Linked DNA regions of Ovis aries. The protein of the gene in region 4 purifies or fractionates together with the protein of the main gene of each other region. This does not show direct contact. Links are inferred from orthologs where the notes say so. Each region holds a gene or a part of one and is shown on either strand. Other genes may lie near its edges.

What was found. The genes of interacting proteins can lie anywhere in the genome.
Region 1: the proteins of SNRPB2 (region 4) and SF3B6 purify together in Homo sapiens (affinity purification with mass spectrometry; 4 studies listed by BioGRID and IntAct, with this or other methods). This does not show direct contact. The link is inferred for Ovis aries from reciprocal best matches to the Homo sapiens genes SNRPB2 and SF3B6.
Region 2: the proteins of SNRPB2 (region 4) and SNRPD2 purify together in Homo sapiens (affinity purification with mass spectrometry; 3 studies listed by BioGRID and IntAct, with this or other methods). This does not show direct contact. The link is inferred for Ovis aries from reciprocal best matches to the Homo sapiens genes SNRPB2 and SNRPD2.
Region 3: the proteins of SNRPB2 (region 4) and RBM17 purify together in Homo sapiens (affinity purification with mass spectrometry; 3 studies listed by BioGRID and IntAct, with this or other methods). This does not show direct contact. The link is inferred for Ovis aries from reciprocal best matches to the Homo sapiens genes SNRPB2 and RBM17.
Region 5: the proteins of SNRPB2 (region 4) and PHF5A purify together in Homo sapiens (affinity purification with mass spectrometry; 4 studies listed by BioGRID and IntAct, with this or other methods). This does not show direct contact. The link is inferred for Ovis aries from reciprocal best matches to the Homo sapiens genes SNRPB2 and PHF5A.

The regions. Positions count from the first base shown.
Region 1 is NC_056056.1:31,741,300-31,744,179, reverse strand, and holds the end of SF3B6 (splicing factor 3B subunit 6), read left to right. Parts: intron 1-1,802; coding exon 1,803-2,043; 3' UTR 2,044-2,111; coding exon of another isoform or gene 2,112-2,201; 3' UTR 2,202-2,371; downstream 2,372-2,880.
Region 2 is NC_056067.1:53,040,962-53,045,066, reverse strand, and holds the start of SNRPD2 (small nuclear ribonucleoprotein Sm D2), read left to right. Parts: upstream 1-1,296; 5' UTR 1,297-1,358; coding exon 1,359-1,360; intron 1,361-2,713; coding exon 2,714-2,893; intron 2,894-3,863; coding exon 3,864-4,038; 3' UTR 4,039-4,105. Other genes in the region: QPCTL (glutaminyl-peptide cyclotransferase-like protein), read right to left, coding at 333-542. UniProt on the Homo sapiens protein: Plays a role in pre-mRNA splicing as a core component of the spliceosomal U1, U2, U4 and U5 small nuclear ribonucleoproteins (snRNPs), the building blocks of the spliceosome.
Region 3 is NC_056066.1:10,877,106-10,881,129, forward strand, and holds the start of RBM17 (splicing factor 45), read left to right. Parts: upstream 1-1,215; 5' UTR 1,216-1,349; intron 1,350-3,463; exon of another isoform or gene 3,464-3,571; intron 3,572-4,024. UniProt on the Homo sapiens protein: Splice factor that binds to the single-stranded 3'AG at the exon/intron border and promotes its utilization in the second catalytic step. Involved in the regulation of alternative splicing and the utilization of cryptic splice sites.
Region 4 is NC_056066.1:10,391,371-10,394,884, forward strand, and holds part of SNRPB2 (U2 small nuclear ribonucleoprotein B''), read left to right. Parts: intron 1-231; 5' UTR 232-257; coding exon 258-321; intron 322-697; coding exon 698-870; intron 871-3,514. UniProt on the Homo sapiens protein: Involved in pre-mRNA splicing as component of the spliceosome. Associated with sn-RNP U2, where it contributes to the binding of stem loop IV of U2 snRNA.
Region 5 is NC_056056.1:218,391,218-218,395,451, forward strand, and holds the start of PHF5A (PHD finger-like domain-containing protein 5A), read right to left. Parts: upstream 2,810-4,234; 5' UTR 2,775-2,809; coding exon 2,723-2,774; intron 2,292-2,722; coding exon 2,268-2,291; intron 1,773-2,267; coding exon 1,606-1,772; intron 1-1,605. Other genes in the region: ACO2 (aconitate hydratase, mitochondrial), read left to right, coding at 3,309-3,344.

The sequences.
Region 1 (2,880 bases), on a different chromosome or scaffold from region 4:
AAAATGGGTTTAGTGCCTGTCCTGCTTCTACTTCCTAAGAAGATGTAAGAGGAAAAAGAGAGATGCTCTTGTTTTGTTAGCTTCCTGGAAAAAAAGATGTGTGTGAGAACTGATAGGAAAAAGTATATCTCCATCCTTCAGATGCTTATTAGCACTTGCTGTATGCATAGCACTCACTGTAGGAGTAAAAAGAAAAAAAAACATGTATTTGCCCTTTTGGAACTTAAATCGTTAGGTTTTTTTGTTTTTTGTTTTTAATGGTTTTATTCCCAAATAAAAAGATTTTGGGGAAAATCTTTGGGACAGTGTTTTTTTCCTTTGAGTATTCCCCAATATTTCAAGAATAAGCATTCTTGAAAATGGTTAAAAGTCAGAAGTTGTTACTTTGAATGAGTATAATAAAATTCTTCATCAGGCCCATGCAGTATGACAAAGTGAGAGCGTTCTCTGGTCCTGGCACCTTCCAACCCCCTCAGTCCCCTACACCTCTCCCTTTTACAGGAAGCACAAGCTCTGACCAGGGCCCAAAACTGTAGTCTCACCCTAGATCAAATCTAGGCAGGTGCCTCCCCTTCCCGTGGGCCCACTGCCTCCCTTGACCCTGTGCAGTCACTGTGGCAGTTGATAAACCTTATTGTGCAGTTGCATTGGGTGGCTGGAACTCAGATGGAGGCAAGGAGATATCCATCTTTAGCTTACCAGAGCATAAGCTGAATAGGACCTCTGCCCGCTGTCACCACTCATAAGCACATGGCCATCTGCCACCTGCAGTTTGTTGCTCCTCACACTTCTTCCCTAGCTCCTCCCCTAACTGAAGCTGGTGTGAAGAGAGGAGGTGGCAGCCCTATAGCTTTCCTACACAAGAAGCAGCTCCATATCCATGAGCTTCCGTGTCCAGCCACCTGCCAGCATTCTTCTCTGACTCACAGGTATCCCACCAACAAGCACACTTCAAACCCAATCCCTCCAGAAACCCGGCCCTTTTCCCTGGCTACAGAGGGCTGTGTAATGCACAAAAGTGCAGATGTTAACTAAAAGTGAATGTCTGAAAGTTAGCAGTTGACTCTTGTTTTAAAAGGGCAAAGAATCTTCTAAGGAAAATGGAAGAAACTATATTAGCTCTCTCTTTACATTGGAGGACACCTGTCCTGGTCATAGAGGATGGTGGTTGACTGCTTTTAATTTTACCATCTTGGTAGGGGCTTCCTTCCAACCCCACTCCTGCCACAGACACAAAATTTATTTTTATGGATTTTATAAGCTTTAGTAAAATACTGCTCAGAAACATTTGATCCCTACATTGATGGAGACTGTCTTGTGTTTAAGAATTGGAACTAAAATTAGAGTGAGGGAGAAAATCAAAGTCTTTAGAAACAAGGGACTAGTGTGGTAAATAACCAAAACGTATTGTTTCTGTTACATAAATGCACATTGAGAAAAGCTGTACCCTAGACATCCTTGTTAGTAACAGCTATCACTCCTAAGGTACTATACTTACCAGTGTAGGACTAAACATTGATTTTTAGCATGAGAAGTAGGAAAGTGAACATGAGGACTGCTCTCTCTTAGGGTAGTGAACATGAAGACTGAACGTTTCAAGCTGGTTCTTTGCTGCTATTGTTTTAGTAACCATATTAGTATTCTTAATATAGTAAGTTTCGTCTGAGATATGGTACTTAAAACAAAAATTACCTATTTCAAGAAATTAAAGGCTTATTCAGTATACCTGTCCATAATATCTGTTTCCCCTAAAGGTTTTCAGGTAAATGTGTATTTTAATTAAGTCCAATTCAACTTTGTAGGGGGAACACACCTGAAACTAGAGGAACAGCTTATGTGGTCTATGAAGACATCTTTGATGCCAAGAATGCATGTGATCACCTGTCAGGATTCAATGTTTGTAACAGATACCTTGTGGTTTTGTACTATAATGCCAACAGGGTAAGTACAGCCACAGTCCTCATCACTTGGGGAACCCGTGTAAGAGTTAGTGAAGGGTGTACCGTTAGGGGAGATGTATCTCCAGAGTTATTTTATAGCTAGTGCTGTTGGTAAAATTCATTTGACTGTAGGTTGGTAACTGTTAACTTTGGTCCATACTACACTTTCAGGCATTTCAGAAGATGGACACAAAGAAGAAGGAAGAACAGTTGAAGCTTCTTAAGGAGAAATATGGCATCAACACAGATCCACCAAAGTAAACGTTTTCTGCATTTTCACTTTGGACTAAAACCCGTGAATAACCACCACTATTTTTTTTTTCTTTAAATGCTGAATATTGTGATTTCTTATTTGAGATTGAAAAAGACCCACTTGAAACTGATATATGTTAGAATATATTATGTTAATAAACTTGTAGCTTTGGGTAAAACATGTCAGTGTTTTCTCTTAAAATTTTTCCTGTGTTATACCAGGAAAAAAAGATAATAATAAAACAGCAGTTGAACCATATCAAGAATTATTCAGTAGTAGGTGGTCCTAGAGACTGAGCTTCTTGAGAATGGGGACCTTTTGATATTCTCAATACTACCAGTGACCAATCCAGTGCTTAGCCATCAGGGGAACTTATTAAGAGTATTATTACTTATTGAATGTCTATTAATAATAAAATCTACATAATAACTCAGTGAAGGTAGGTATCCATTTTGCAGATAAGGAAACCAAAGCTTATGTTGAGTGAATGAATAAAATATTTTTGGACATCAACTGGTTATTAAGCACATGAGTACATTTGAATGATATTTGGTTTACAGTTAGTGAAATGCCTTTGTCAGTATTGGTACCCTTGTCCTCAGATATTTATTCTAGAAGTGGTCATTCAGATGATAACGCATTGTTAGAAATGTGAGAGCCAGCTGCCAGGGTGGTAGTATTTGTTTT
Region 2 (4,105 bases), on a different chromosome or scaffold from region 4:
GCCCACGGCAATCCTGATGAGGGAAATCAAGGCCCAGCGAGAGGAAGGGACTCTTCCAAATAGCTGCCTTTAGGATTAGAACCCAGAACTCCAAGTCTTACTACTCCAGACTCTCTTACGGGGTAACCGCTATTACAAAACAAGCCCGAAGCCTCATTGCATTGGAAAGGGGTATGCGCTCTAAGAACGGAGACGGCGGCACCTGCAGCTAGGGCCATAAGGTAAAGACAAAGCCAGGTTAACCCAACCTAGGGTCTTCCCCATGAGACCGTGGGGAAGGGGAGGCAAGGAGTAAGGGCTTCCGCAGTGCCCATGTCCCCGCCCGTCCTCACCCGCAGTTCCCGGCCCAGCGGCAGCTCTTCAGTCTGGCTATGCCAGCTGCTCCAAATGGTATAGAACACCAAGGCTACTGTCAGAGCCAGCAGCAGCTGGGGCAACAGCTGTGCCCGCGGTATCAGGCGCCGCTTGGGCGGTGAGGGTCGCTCCAAAAGGCTGCGTTCCCCGACCGGGAGTCGGGGCCGCCCGCGGCCCCCGGAACGCATGGCAGCTTGGCCCTGAAACCGGTCGGAGACGGCGGATAGAGTTAAGGCCGAGCCAAGTCCCGCCCCATGAAATAAGCCAGACCAATGAACAACAAGAGCGGCTGCACCATCCGCCCCCCCCACGAGCAGTAAAGCAAATGGGACTTTCGGCCTGAGGACGCGGCTCCTTGTCTTCAGGGAGCTTTGGGGGTTGGTTCCCCCGGGTTGCACAACCCAAAAGGGAGAGCGTAAGAAGTAGGCGCCGCCTCAGCGCAGGAGGGGAAGCCAATGAGAAGCGTTTGATCACCGAAAACACTAGCCTTACTGGGCGCAAATCCACGCCGCTCCCGGATGGACCCTCTCCCCGGTCCAGAAAAACCAATATACACGTAAATCAACAGTTTCCGAAGGAAAGGGGAGGTGCCCATCCCTGAAGCGAGGAGGGGATTGGCTTCGCCAAGGCCGCGCCCCCAAAGGCAGAGCGGGCGGGCATTTGGAAATGGCTAGTATTCCCCTCTTTCAACCTATGCGGTTCTGCAACAAAATGGTTTTAATCAGTCCCGCCTTCTTTTCCTCTCCATGGTCGTGAATATCTGCCCAGCACTGTCTTGAATGGTGGCCTGGAGCTACTTACTAAGTAAGGCTTCTACTCGGCAGCCTCCGCCGAGGGCGGAGATCGCTATAGCAACGGGCCACGCCCCACTCGCTGGTTGGGTATGCGCAGGCGCGCGCGGAAGTGGGCCGTAGGAAGAGGAAGTCCCGCCTCTGGCTCTCTGTTCGGGAGGCACACCACGGAGGAGACGGTAGTGGCTTGAAAACGCGGTCACCATCATCATCATGTGAGGCCGGGCTGGGTTTGGGTGGCGGCAGTGGGATTGAGGGTGTAAGTTTGGCCACTTACCGGTTGAAGTGGGTAGGCAGAAGTGGGCGCGGAAGCAAACATTTGGGGGTAAAGTGGCGTATCTTTCTACTGATGAGTTGCGAGGGGACGTGGGGCCTTTGAAGGATCCTGACTTCGGGAGCGGGGACAGCTTTATCAGATAACAGGCTGGGCTTTCCCAAATAAGCAATCTTATTGAAGTGAAGTTTAAGAGGAAGCGTTTTTACGAATTAAAAACCTGGGAGATGAGGAGTACGGACTTGTAGGAAAAGCGGTCTTAAGGTAAGAGGCGTAGCTGGAGACAATTGGCTTTTCGATCACATCCGCCATTGGTATGGATAACGAGTTATGGGGATGATTTTACTTATGTAGTCACTCAACAGTTATTTATTGAGTTGTTTGTGTATTAGGCTGCTTTAGACGCATAGCTTATATCACTGAATTACTCCACTCTCCCCAAGGGAAAAAAAATCCTCTTCTACATCTTACGGGATGGGAAGAGGCAGGCAGGAAACGTGCTGGTAATAAATCCGTAAATTCTAGAATGTGTTAGGGAATAGGGTTTTGAATAAAGAAATAACAGAGCAGGGTAAAACAGCGTGGAATGTCTCTTGTGAGAGACAGAACGCATGAAGGAGGCAACACTTGAGCAAAAACCTGAAGAAAGTGAGAAAGCAAACTGCAAAGGTACCTGGGGACGTACCTAGGCAGAGGGAAAAGTGAATAGAGGGGCCCAAGAAGGTTTGCCTGATAGCTTCAAGAACCACTGAAGAGGCCATTGTGCCTGGAACAGAGTGAGGGTAAAAGCTGGGCTTTACTGTTTACACTGAGAGGGTACTCAAGAGTGAGATGATTCTTGACACCACCCTTGAGACTGCTCTGTGGAGGGCGAACTGTTGGGGAGCGTGGGTGGAGGCAAGGAGACCTAGGAAAGATGATGGAGGTTTAAGCCAAGGTAAGAAATTCAGATTCTGATAGGTTTTAGTGGCAGATGGCAGGATTTGCTGACAGATTGAATGTAGGATGTGAGAGAAGAAAGAGTCAAGTTGCTCAAAGAACCAGAGGGATGGAGTCACCACTGACAGAGATGAGGAAGGCTGTGGATAGTATTAAGTTGGGGTTATGGGGGGTCTGGAGTTCAGTCTAGGTCATGCGAGGATTGGAAATATCCATTAGGCATCCAAGTGGTGATAGCAAGAGAGAGGACTGAGTACGAAGAGAGGGATATGTGTCGGGGAGACACCAAGGGAGAGGCCATGAGCACCCAGGCTATGGGCCTGCTCACCTCTGGGTTCCATACTTGTCTTTTCAGGAGTCTCCTCAACAAGCCCAAGAGTGAGATGACCCCAGAGGAGCTGCAGAAGCGGGAGGAGGAGGAGTTTAACACGGGGCCGCTCTCCGTGCTCACGCAGTCAGTCAAAAACAACACTCAAGTGCTCATCAACTGCCGTAACAACAAGAAGCTCCTGGGCCGCGTGAAGGCCTTCGACAGGTGAGCACCAGGGTCTGGGGAGGTATGCTGTCCGGGCCTCAGTTTCCTTACCTGTGAAATATGCGTCATAATAATATCCCTCAGAACAGTAATGAGGCTTCAGTAATACTATGTATGAAAAGCACTTGGCTCAGTACCTAACACATGATAAATGCTCAGTAAACACATGCAGCCTTTAGTTAGCATTTGGGAAGTGCTTTCCTCACCGTAGATTACTATATAGCAAGATACAGAGCTTTCCCAATTTTTTTCTTTTCTTTCTTTCACTCAGTCATAGTTCCCTGTATCCTCCTATTCCTTTGTGTGTGTGCATGAGGGCTAAGTCACTTTGGTTGTGTCTGAATCTGTGCAGCCCTATGGACTGTGGCCCACCAGGCTTCTCTGTCTATGGGATTCTCCAGACAAGACTACTGGAATGGGTTGCCATGCTCTCCTCCAGGGGATCCTCCCAACCCAGGGATTGAATTTGCATCTCTTATGTCTCCTGCATTAGCAGGCAAGTTCTTTACCGCTAGAGCCACCTGGGAAGCCCCCCATCCCTTTACCTTGCGTTAGTTTTTCTTCATAGCACTTACTACCACCTGACAGTATATTACAGGTGTGTTTGTTTACCTGCTTCGTGTTCTCCCTTCACTAGCCTGCAGAGCCCATGAAGACAGGGCTCTTACCTGGTTTTTTTTTCATTGCTCTAATCATTGTAAACGTTTGTTGACCGAGCTATTCCACACTGTCATCACACATGCCCATAAGAAAAATAGTGTGTTGATTCACTTAATTTTCACAACAGCCATAGGAGGCAGGCACCATGAATGTCTCCATTTTAGAGACGAGGAAACTGAGGCGCAGAAGGTGAAGTCCTTTGCCCGAGCCTCGGAGCCCTGGCTCTCCCCCTTCCCAGAGGCAGTGCCGCCCAGAGGAAGGGTCAGGACACACCCCTCACTCAGTCCTGCTGCCTCCCCGTCCCCACCAGGCACTGCAACATGGTGCTGGAGAATGTGAAGGAAATGTGGACGGAGGTCCCCAAGAGCGGCAAGGGCAAGAAGAAGTCCAAGCCAGTCAACAAGGACCGCTACATCTCCAAGATGTTCCTGCGCGGGGACTCTGTCATCGTGGTCCTGAGGAACCCGCTCATCGCTGGCAAGTAGGGCCTCCTCCCTGCTGTCAGAACTTTCCCCCTGGTTTTGCGAAGACCTGCCCTCTGTACTTGAAATA
Region 3 (4,024 bases), about 490 kb from region 4:
ATCTGGCAGAGGCTGCTTCCTGTAAAAACAACCTAGGGACGTGTGTCAGACCTTTATCGTTCAGGGCCCTGGGAAGTGAGTGATTCTGCTCTGTGGTGGGTTTATAGTATAAATTGTTACCAGTTTCCTGGCTCAATAGCTATTTTATATCTTCACATTTCCCAGTCATTAACTCTTGAGTCAGCCGTTTGAGACTTGGGGAGGCCCGGGAGATTAAGCAAAATCATTTTACTTCAAAGGACAGGGACCTAGGGTTTGTATATGATTTCAAATATAGACGAGAAAATCGCATTGACACAGAATCCTATTTTCTCTTTCGTCCCAAATTTTGTCCTATCGTTTTGAAATCATGAGGCTTTATAACATGTACCGTGTATGTATACATGTATGTATACGTATATAACATGTATCCTGTAACTCTAACTTCATACCCATGATTTTCTTATCCCTTCCCTTGTGACTCAGCTGGTAAAGAATCCGCCTGCAATGTGAGGGACCTGGGTTTGATCCCTGGGTTGGAAAGATACCCTGGAGAAGGGAAAGGCTACCCACTCCAGTATTCTTGGGCTTCCCTTGTGGCTCAGCTGGTAAAGAATCTGCCTACAATGCAGGAGACCCAGGTTTGGTCCCTGGGTTGGGAAGATCCCCTGGAGAAGGGAAAGGCTACCCACTCCAGTATTCTGGCCTGGAGAATTCCATGGGCTATACAGTCCATGAGGTCTCAAAGGGTCAGACACGACTGAGCAACTTTCACCTCACACAGTTAATTCAGCACCCCTGGTCTTGTCTTTTACAGCCCTTTGGCCATTCATCTCTCCTACTATGATTTATCTTTAGCTTTGTGCACACTGATGATGAACAGTTTTTTTTAATATAAATTTATTTATTTTAATTGGAGGCTAATTACTTTACAATATTGTATTGGTTTTGCCATATATTGACATGAATCCGCCACGGGTGTACATGTGTTCCTCATGAAGCCCAAATTTGTAGCCCTCCTCTCCGCCTGAGGTCAATGCCAGGCTCCCGGGTCTGTAGCGTCACAACCTTTTGCCATTGCGACCCCTCTTGGCTGCAGAGGAAATCTCTCGGCTCTGCGGGCGTGGTCCTCCGGACGGCAGGGGGCGCACGGCAGCAGGGGCGCCCTCAACGCAGGCGCCGGGTGCCTCTCTTCCGGCCGTACGCGCCGTGACCCCGCGCCGCCGCGCGTCCCGCGAAGTCTGCGTAGGGGTTGGCGCCGGAGCGGTGCTGCGGTCGGGGGCTGACGCCGAGCCCCCAGCCCGCGGTGTCGGCGGCGCGTCGGCCTCGGTGCGCCGCCGCGGCCCGGGATCGTCGGCCGGGCGGGCCGGGTAAGTGGTCTCTGGGGCCGGTGGGCGGGCGTGGGCCGGGGCCGGCGCGCCTCCTCGGGCGGGCGTCGCGACAGGCGAGGCCGCGGCTTTAGGCCGCACCGCGAGGGGCGCGGGGCGGGGGTCCTGACCGGCCCCGCGCCGCTGGCTGCCCTGGCCGCTGGCAAGCCTCCCGTCTTCTCTCTCTCCCTGCTCCCCACGTCCTTTATGTGCCTCGGCTTGCAGGGCCCTCGCACCCCTGCTCTCCCCTTTTTCTTCCTCGTCTGTTTGCTCTGGCCTTGTGTCTCCTGGACCCGAGGGCACCTTTCCCTCTCCTGTCCCCTCCCTCTCGCTGTCGGTCTGTCCGGGAACAGCTGTTGGTCCCTTGAACCCAGTAGCCGGGGCCGCCGAGGAAGGAATCCGTTTCCGCCCCTGGCTTCGAATCAGGTGTGGCCATCCCTCAGAGACGAGGGTTTTACCTGGACGAGGCTCTGGCACTGCCTCGGACCCTGTCTTTTCTTAAAGCGGTGTTTTAGCTTCGATATCCAGTCACAAAGCGTTTTTTGTTTTTTGTTTTGCTTGAGCGTTTCCTTTTGCCCAGGTCATGTTTAGGAACAGCAAATAGTTAGATCAGTAAGATTCTGTCTCTACGCTCCCGTGAGTTTAGTTTCCAGAGAAACAAGTGTAAAAAGCCACGCCTCGGTCGGTCTGGAAAGGCTTCCTAAGGAGTGAGGCGTGTAACTGAGCCTTGGGGGTGTTTTGTTAAATGTGCAGGATGGGGGAAAGCTTCCTTGCAGAGGAAATAAGGGTAAAGGTAGCGGAAGGGAAGCACCGTAGTGCATTCTGGAAACTGCAGGAAAGGTAGATAGTGTGAACGTGGGTAGTCAGGTCAGATCAAGACGGTTCTCTGAGAAATCAATGGAGGAGGGTCCTGGGAGGTGCTTATTCCTAAGGGCAGGCAGAATAGTGTATGGTGAAGTCGCTCAGTCGTGTCCGACTCTTTGCGACCCCGTGGACTGTAGCCTGCCAGGCTTCTCCGTCCATGGGATTCTCCAGGCAAGAATACTGGAGTGGGTTACCATTTCCTTCTCCAGGGGATCTTTCCAACCCAGGGGTCGAACCCGGGTCTCCCGCATTGGGGGCAGACGCTTTAACCTCTGAGCCACCGGGGAGGCAGGCAAGTGGGTGGGAAATAGGATATTCTAGGGGAGGGCAAAATTCTGGACATTCTCAGGTAGGTGCGGACTGTGTCTCCCCTCAACAGGTGGAGTTTTTAAAGGATGCAGTTCAGTTTCCACAGTTCTGTGAGTTAAGGGCCACAGGCATTTTGACTATAGTGAGGATATTTAGGCGATATGGGATATTACATTAGTAACTTAAACTGTAGGTGATTTATTTTTAGAAGAAATAAAGCAAATGGTATATACTAAGAAATGTGCTGTGTGCTGACTGACCACTCACTGATATATTTAGAAAATATTTAAAAAGTGCTTAACAATGTCCCACGCAAGGTGCTCAGTTGGAGATATAAAGATGAAGACAGAAACATCCCTTAACGCCTTGAGGGGTTTATGATATAGTAAGAGACAGACATGTCACCCAGTGGAGCCTAACAAGACGTGTGTTCAGGGGGTAGCTGGTTTTATGTGAGGTTTGTTGTCAGCAAAGGCTTCAGAGATATACTTAAAAGATGAGCACATGGGGTGCTGCTGAGAAGACGTCTTCCTTGTTCTTTTTTGCTAGTTGCACGTGTTTTAAAAAAAATACTTCTCTAGCTTGGGTAGAATCTTGAAAAGTCATCATTCTTCCAGAAGAGCTGTGTTTACCGTGTTTCTTTTTAAGTAAAAGAAAAAGCATACCTGGAAGATGTGTTGATCAAAGGCTGATGTTACTATGAAAACGAAGTCAGTAGTGAGGCGGTATTTTAAAGAGGTTATGAAAATCAACTGTTTGTATTTCCATTTGGTCCTGGCTTCCTAAGATATATTCAGATGTTAGAAAGTGCTCCGTTTTTATTACCTGCCACCAGACTTCATGAAATAAATGTGTTGTATCATCTGAAAGACATCTGAGCATTAAGCAGGTGAAGTTCAGGTCCTAACAGAGTCTTGTTAGTGCGCTTGTTATTTTCAGCGTTTGCCGCAGAGAGGATGCATGAATCAACTGTGACATAGTTACAAGTACTCAAGGCAGCCACAGTGAAGATACATGCGCCTTTTAAGGAATGCATGCAGCAAGCTGTGTCGGTAAGGTGATGTAAAAGGAGGAAAGGAAGGAGTTAGCATGGGGTTCAGGCTGCTGCTGGGCCAAGGAGATCACTTGGGTGGATGGGATGGGATGGGGACCATATGGGTGGAGGGTGGTCTCTTGTCTCACTGGTGCTTGTTGCATTATAGTAGTTACTTAAAGCAAGTCTTACAAGTGCAGGTGGGTAGAGCGTGTTGTTGCTGTGGTCCATCCAGTTCTATGAATTTGAAGGTCTGTGGAGAGAAAAGTGAAGAAAGCTCTTCTGCCTTTACTGTGATGAGATCTGATGTGTAAGCTCCGAGGTACAGAAAGCTAGCAGATGCTAGTAAGGGGGCATCACTTTGTGATATTTAAGGTATGCTTTTGAAGGTTCTGAGGACAGAAACGGGGAACTTTAAATGAACATAAGATTTTGCTGCACAGTGACTTTCGAAGCTTGCAGAGCAAGGTGA
Region 4 (3,514 bases):
TGCGGCACCAAGTTTTCAACCTGAGAACTGTTCTTTTCTTTAAAAAGGAGGGCTCGCAAGTTTTGGAGAGGTTTTAAAGACTACCCCCAAACTGATATTTTCAGTTTTCAAACTGACATTTGGGGCTGAAAGAATTGAAAAGTCAGTACCTTTGTTCTATGTCCTTAATGCCACCCTATGACGTGAACGAATCCTCCCTGTTTAGTAACAGAATATTTATTGTCTTTTTAGGCTATTGGAACAGTTTAACACAAAACATGGATATCAGACCAAATCATACAATTTATATCAACAATATGAATGACAAAATTAAAAAGGAAGGTAAGTGTTTTTTAAAAAAAAAACTAGTGTGTTTATTTACTACCATCTTAAAAATTATACAGCTTCAAAAGTTCTCATCTAGTCATCTTTCTCACTGCGTGAAATAATGGTTTATCCCTTGTTGTGTAAAGACTTTAAGGCTTTTTAAAGATTAAAAATAAGTAGGGGCTGAAGATGTGTTGAATCTGTTTTCACTCAGATGAAACCATTTCAGAAACTCTTAAAATTAAACAGCCATTGGGAATAGTATGTTATTAAAATATGTAACTTTGTATAAATAAATGAGCGGAGTGCATTCAGTGCAATGTCATGTTAAGAAGAATTTCAGTCATAGTTTCATCCACAGATGCCTTGTTTCCCCTCTAATTTTGTGCAGAATTGAAGAGATCCCTGTATGCCCTGTTTTCTCAGTTTGGCCACGTGGTAGATATCGTTGCTTTGAAGACCATGAAGATGAGGGGACAAGCCTTTGTTATATTTAAGGAACTGGGCTCATCTACAAATGCCTTGAGACAGTTACAAGGATTTCCATTTTATGGCAAACCAATGGTAAATCAATCTTATTTTGGCTTTAATCACTATTAATGGTATGGTAGATTTGTAAATATACCCTTGACAGTGTGGCTGTTGCTTTCTGCCTTCTGTGTAGTGGGTTGGGGTTCATTTATGTATTTATTTTTATAGAAACACATTAGTAGTAGAGTTTGTAATATTCACTTTTTGAGTTATGATACTTCAGATGGGCAAAAGCAAAATACAGAAGATGTAGAATATTTTAAGAACAATGGCAGTATAGGCAATACTGTCCTCTCAAAAGAACTAAGAACTAGAAATTAATTACTCAGAAGATTAAAAAGAAACCTCTGTTTGTAAACTTGTAAAACAACCACAAAACAAAAATGGTGAGTCAAAGAGGAAATCCAGTCCGAAATTTCAAAAAATACCATAGTGAAATACTGTACTTTAGACGCTATGCAGTCAAAGCGCTGATCTAAGGACAGTTTTAAACTCAGGAGAGACCTGAGATTTCACGTTTAGCTGTTGGGTCAAAGTTGAATTGTGGGAAGGGAAGCAGGGAACTCAGGAGGCATTGGTATAAGTCAGAGATGGTAGAGGATTGGATCAGGCTGGAGAAAGAGTATATAATCCAGAGGTCTCTTGGTGTTTGAATGGGTACAGTCTCCCTTGGGTATGGATTTTAGTGCTTTTCTTCTGGAACTGGAATGTGATGGGAAGGGGTGTTGGGGAAAGAGCCGAGGCCGAGAGTTTCAAGGTCCCATGTTCTCATTCTGGTTCTGCCATTAACTGGCTTTTTGTGCTTGTTCCGTTTTACCACCTATTTAAAAAAAAAAAAGAATAAGCAGACTGAATATATTTTGGTCAAATTTACAGGCAAGCAAAAACTCTTATAAAGGACCAGATAATACAAGCTTTGTGGACCACATAGAGTTTGTACTGCACATTCTTAGGTGTGTGTGTGTGTGTTTTAAATAACCCTTTAAAAAAAAAAAATAAAATAAAAAATAAAAATTGTAAACAGAAAGAAAAAAGTTCGTAACTCATAGGCCATACAAAAACAGGCCATGGGCTGGATTTGGCTCATAATCTGTAGTGCAGAATACCACTGTGATCTCTTTTTACAAATTAAAAATCAGGCACAGAAATCTTACGTTACTGTAACCAGTGGCATCGTCAGGACTTGAAAGCTAATCTGCTGACATCCAATATTGTGATTTTTTTTTCCCCTCAATTAGGATAGGCATCTGATCTGTAAAGGGCCAGATAGTAAATATTTTAGGCTTTACGAGCCAGATGATCTCTTTTGCAGCTCCTTAAACTGCCTTTATAGTTGGAGAAGCAGCCACAGAAGGTGTGCAGATGGAAGGGTTTATCTGTGTCCTAAGAAGACCTAACGCAGAATACCAGGCAGTGTTGGCATAGTCAGCACTCCACGGACCTCGGTACTGCACTGTTTAATTCAGGACTGAGCACTTTTTGTCTGTTAAACTGCCACACATTTTCTGCCCATCCTCTATCCAATGCTCCTTTTCCCATCATTTCCCACCTGACTGTTTCCCACCATCGTATGTTTGAAAACTTGTATTCCAGAAAAACTGAGAAGGGGTAGTACCTACCTACCCAACTTACAGTAAATTGGCATTTCCTGAAACCAGTTTATCTTTCTCAGTAGCATGAAGAACTAGCATAATTGAGATCTCAGCTGGTAGTAGCATAAGACTGGGTTTTAGTTTAAATCTGAAATTACGTTAGTATGGAGAAGCCATTTATTCCCATAAAGGGTTTTAGGACTGTTTGTTAAGTTGGGATGACACGTTTGCATATGCCTGGGATTGAAGGCCAGGAAAGCTGGAAATTGTTTGCTGCATTTGGCACCGGCTTCACCTTGCCAGCTAGTTACTAAAAATCAAAGGGACAAGCCCATTACACTGATCTCATATTGGAGGTATTTTAGGAGGTCTCTTCTCTGCCTGCAGGAAAGTAGGAGGTACTGCCAGATCTCCAGCATCCTGGAAGAGGGAAAGAATGTTCCTTGAGCTATCTTGTTTATATTTACTTAGGTGGTTTCAGTTGCTCTTCTATTTAACGCCAACATACCAGATCAGAAATGAGCAAAATTGTCTATGACTTGGAACTCAGAACAAAATTATTCTCTGTGATTCAAGGACATTTGATTCTTTAATTCCAAAAATACCTCAGTAAAGTGAAACCATCTTCCTAAGGGTGTCTGTCTTGAAACCTCTGGTATAAATGTAAATCTTGCGCCTTCTCTAAGCTCTGGGTGAATTTTTATCTCTCATCAGTATTTAGTCTACTATTTTTCAACACTGGCACTACTGACATTTTGAACTGAATAACTTTTTTTTTTGTTTGTTTGGGCTTTCTGGTTCATTGGAGAGTGTTTAACAGCATGTCTGGCCTCTGCCCACTTAGCGTGATGATACAGTATCTCCAGCCAGCAGTGCCAGCTGTGTTCTGGTGGGCAGATTCTCCTCAACTCGAGAACTGCTGCTCTAGACCAGCCAGCTAAGAGCGAGGGCTGAGATGAGAGATTTTCACAGGCCACAGGGACAAGTACAAGATCACCCAAGATCTTCTCAGGTCAGAAGAAGGTTGAAGACCCAGGGGAGTTGGGAGAAAATCCCTGGACCAAGTCAGAGTTAGCCCAGATCTG
Region 5 (4,234 bases), on a different chromosome or scaffold from region 4:
GATAAGAGAATGTTCAAATCGGGGACATCCCTGGTAGCCCAGTGTTTAAAAATGCAGGGGACATGGGTTTGATCCTTGGTCAGGGAACCTAGATCCCATACCTTGGAGCAAGTAACCCTGCACACCACAAGACCCAGAGCAGCCCCCCAAAAGAGAGAGAACGTTCAAATCACCAACTGAAATTATGTTTCTGGTACTTTATCTACGATCGTTCTCGCTTCCCTAAATAACAGAAGACTTTACTGGTGTGAAAAATAGGTTTATCTGCTCTAATATGTCCCACTTATTAGAGGTAGACAAAATCTAACTGCAAAGATTCTGAGGTAGCTGAATCGTCTCTCTTCAACACAGGCACATCACAGACTTATGAAAGGACACCACAAGGTTTAGTCAGAAAGCTTGGGACTTGACACTTATTAGCTGGGAGAGGGGCTGTAAAATGGGGATAATAATACCCCCTAATTAACAAAGCTATTGAAGAATAAGGGAGATAAGATCTATATAGAAGGGGGATCTTCCTGACCCAGGGATTGAGCCTGTGATGAACCCGAGTCTCTCACACTGCAGGCAGATTCTTTACCATCTGAGCGAACTGGGAAGCCCTATATATATATATTTAATTATCTACTATTTGTAAAAGGGAATATAAAGAATTATTTATCTTTTGGGAATTCGCTGGCAGTTCAGTGGTTAGGATTCTGCATTTCCACTGCAGGGGGCCTGGGTTCCACCCCTGGTTGGGGAACTAAGATCCCCAAAGCTGCCCAGCATGGCCAAAGAATTTCTTATTTCTTTTTTGCCTTATGTCTTATCCTAGATTAGGTAACCAGATACCTCATATTAGCCTATTGTTACTGTATCACACTTTGTTTTACTGTCATAAGAACAGAAGGTGATTCATGGGTTGTCCTCCTCTCCTCCAAGAAACCTGTTTTTGGTACAGATCTATAACTCTCTATTGTATCCTGGCAACTGGCTCAATTGCATTTGCCAGCATACAATGTTAAGGGGAAAAAAACGTCCAAACAGAATCCCAAGCAATTCTGAAAAATCAAAGCAAAAGTATTCTCTAGCTACTCAGAGCTGAAATCAACTTGAATAGTCCCAAATTCAGAAGTCAATACATCCACCTGAACAGTCCTTAATGATAATAAAGAGAATTACTGAATGGCTATTATACACCTTGCACCATGCTAGGACTTAAAAATGCAGAATATTGGGAGTTTCCTGATGGCCTAATGGTTATGATTCTGGGTTTTCACTGCTGTGGCCAGGGTTCAAGATCCTGTAAGCTATGTGGCACAGTTTAAAAAAAAAAAAAAAGATATTGTTTGTGAATAAAAATGAGAGAGACATCAAAGGAATAGAGGGCTTTCGAAATTGCCAGTGTTGACCAAAATTTGCTTCTCTTGCACTTTTGTCCTTGATACAAAATAACTGCCTTTTGTTGGGCTACACCCAGTTTGGCTCACAGACACTGAAGAAATTATAACCTAGATGACTAAATGAACATATTCATCCACGGACCATACAGTTTGCTGTGGATGGCAAAGTGATACTAAACACAAGGGAAAATCAGATGAAAAGCTTCCTATATATACTCACATCTTTCTCCTGGATGGTGCATTCCTTACAATAATAGGCATCTGAAACTCCAGGGCCTCCACAGATCACACAGCGTCCCTGGTAAGAGCCATAGTTACACTCGTCGCATATGCGCACCAGAGTGCAAGGACGCACATAGGAGTCACAGATCACACACTTGCCATCACCTATAAGAAGAGAATGGAGTTACACCCATGTGCAAATACCTCAAGTCCTTTGCCCTCCTCCCGCTATGGGGACTACACCAGTCTCCTAACAGTGACTTGAGGACCCTCTACTTTGGCATCACAAAACCTGACTTACCTCGTGTCCATCTCAATCGCTACAACACAAAGGAAAAGTTAATCAACTACTGGGTAAAGACCTTAGAGGAGCACCTGGTAGATACGTCTATATAAATTAGTTGGCAGAACGCTGTATATGTCGATGGGGTCATGCTACCTCTGGTCCAAAGCTAAAGATTCTCTCAAAACCTAGTGTCTAAAACGTGCAAGCTGGAGTGAGGGTGGTGGCCTTTAGTTGCAGCCTGGCACTGTGTTGACATTCTTTGGGTCACGTCTACTCCAAGTCCTCCTAGTGCCACCGCTGAAAATGCTCGTTTGCTTGCTCTACAGAAACTGAGTGGGCCAGGTGGGCTAATTGGGGAGGCGTGTTCCACTCACACTTTTCACACAGTCTTCCAATGGCTGCAAGATAAAAGACGGTAAAGAGCACAATTAGGATTAAAGTTTTGACGAAGAGGGGACAAACATCTTCGAGCTTGCGGTGGAGACAGGAGCAGCGACTGCAGTGAGCCCTGAGGGGATCTATCCATCTTATCCTCTTAAACTTCAATCCGAACCAAATCCAGAGCCTCCTGAAGCCCCTCACAGGTCCTGCGCAAACTAAGAATTTCTCCCAGCCCCATTCCGGCAGCCTGCCTCCGGCTCCCAGCACGCGAGCCCCCGCCCTCTTTTCATCAAGAGACCGCAAACGCGCGCGCTCCTGCACTTTCAACCTAGAGGCGGGAAACGTGGCGCCTCCCGGGCAAGACCCTAAGCAAGTGACGGGAACCCCGGACCTCTTAGGTCCTAATACCATTCCCACCAAGAGAGCCGGGGGCAGAAGGCTGCCTCACCAACACCAGCCTGCTTGCGGCAAAAGATCAAGTCCGGGTGATGCTTAGCCATAGCTCCCTCTCAAACCACCGGAAGCTTACAGAACTTCCGTCCGACCTTTAACCTCCGTTGCTCCTGCCTCTTGGTCGCCGTGATTGGTTCTCTAGACGTCCGTCAGCGTTTATACTCTTTGCACCAAGCCCCGCTGGTTCTCGCGAGTTCAAATTTCAAAGCCAGGTTTCCGTCCTAACGGGGGTCAGGTCCTGGCAGGTGTATGAAAGTTATTTAAAAAAAAAAATCACAATCTTTCCAGAACTAGAATGGGAGAGGCAAATTGCAAAGTACAAAGGTGAAATTTTCACTTCGATAAGACATCTCTTGCCCGGCATCTACTTCCTTAAGTGTTTTTTTGTAGTTTTGTCCTCTCCCCTTTCGAGTCCTCACTCGGGAACTCCGCCCAAGGCGCTCGCAGAAGTAGGCGCCTCGGCCGAAGCCCAGCCTTCACGAGGCCGCGTTTCTCTTCAGGCCACGCCCCCAGCCTGAAGGCTTTAAATACTCTGAGTGGCACGTCACTTTCAAGCGACCTCATCTTTGTCAGTGCACAAAATGGCGCCTTACAGCCTACTGGTGTCCCGGCTGCAGGTGAGCGAACTGAGGGCCCTCTGGGTTCGCGGGGGCGGGGTGCCTCCTCCTGTGATTGCGGCTGTGGGCGAGGCAAGACGAGGCAGGCCCGACCTCCGGCCGGCTTTTCGTGTACCTGTCCCTGTCGCGGGGCCAGCACCCACGCTCGCTCCTCCGGCGCCCGAGGTCAAGGCGTCCCTGGCTCTGTCAGCTCTCTCTCTGCTCTGTCCCCGCCCAGCTGGAAGCTTGGGTCTAAGAAGCGGCAGCTAGGTGAAGAGTGGAGGCACCTCTTTCTCGTTTTCGTGGACCTCACTTTCTACCCCATAGAGTTTTGTTTTCTGTTCCTCAAGGTGAGGACAAGGTGACTGGGGGGGCGCGGTGGTTGTTGAGCCCGCTAGGCCCAGAACCCGAAGGCCTCACTTCTCATCTCTCAGCAGCGGAGACTTGCTAGCCAAGTGCATCAATCGTTGTCAAACCCGAAGTCTGGAGAAAAAAACTATATTCCATCTTGAGGGGATCCTGCAGAACATACAGCCAAGAGTTCGAGGGGACCTTCCGTCCCCAGCCGTAGTAATTAGTAATGATAACAGTAGTCTCACCTTTGCACAGATTGCAAGACCATTCCTCATCATATCGCTTAATTTATATGATCATTTGGTAGGATGATTATTCTCATTTGATAGGTGATGAAACTGCTAGGTAAAAGTTCCTGCTCTGAGTGTTACCCAAGTGCTGTGGCGTTAGCATCTGCCCTACTACCCCGCTGTTCTCTTTGTTCCTGTCACCCTGCCCTCAGAACTTTTTGAGCCAGAGTGTGATCCTGGAGCTGACATTTGTATTTGTGAGAGTACCAGAATGGAGTATTTTGAGCCCACTTTCAATTGCTTTTCAATTACTAGATGGGGTGGTAA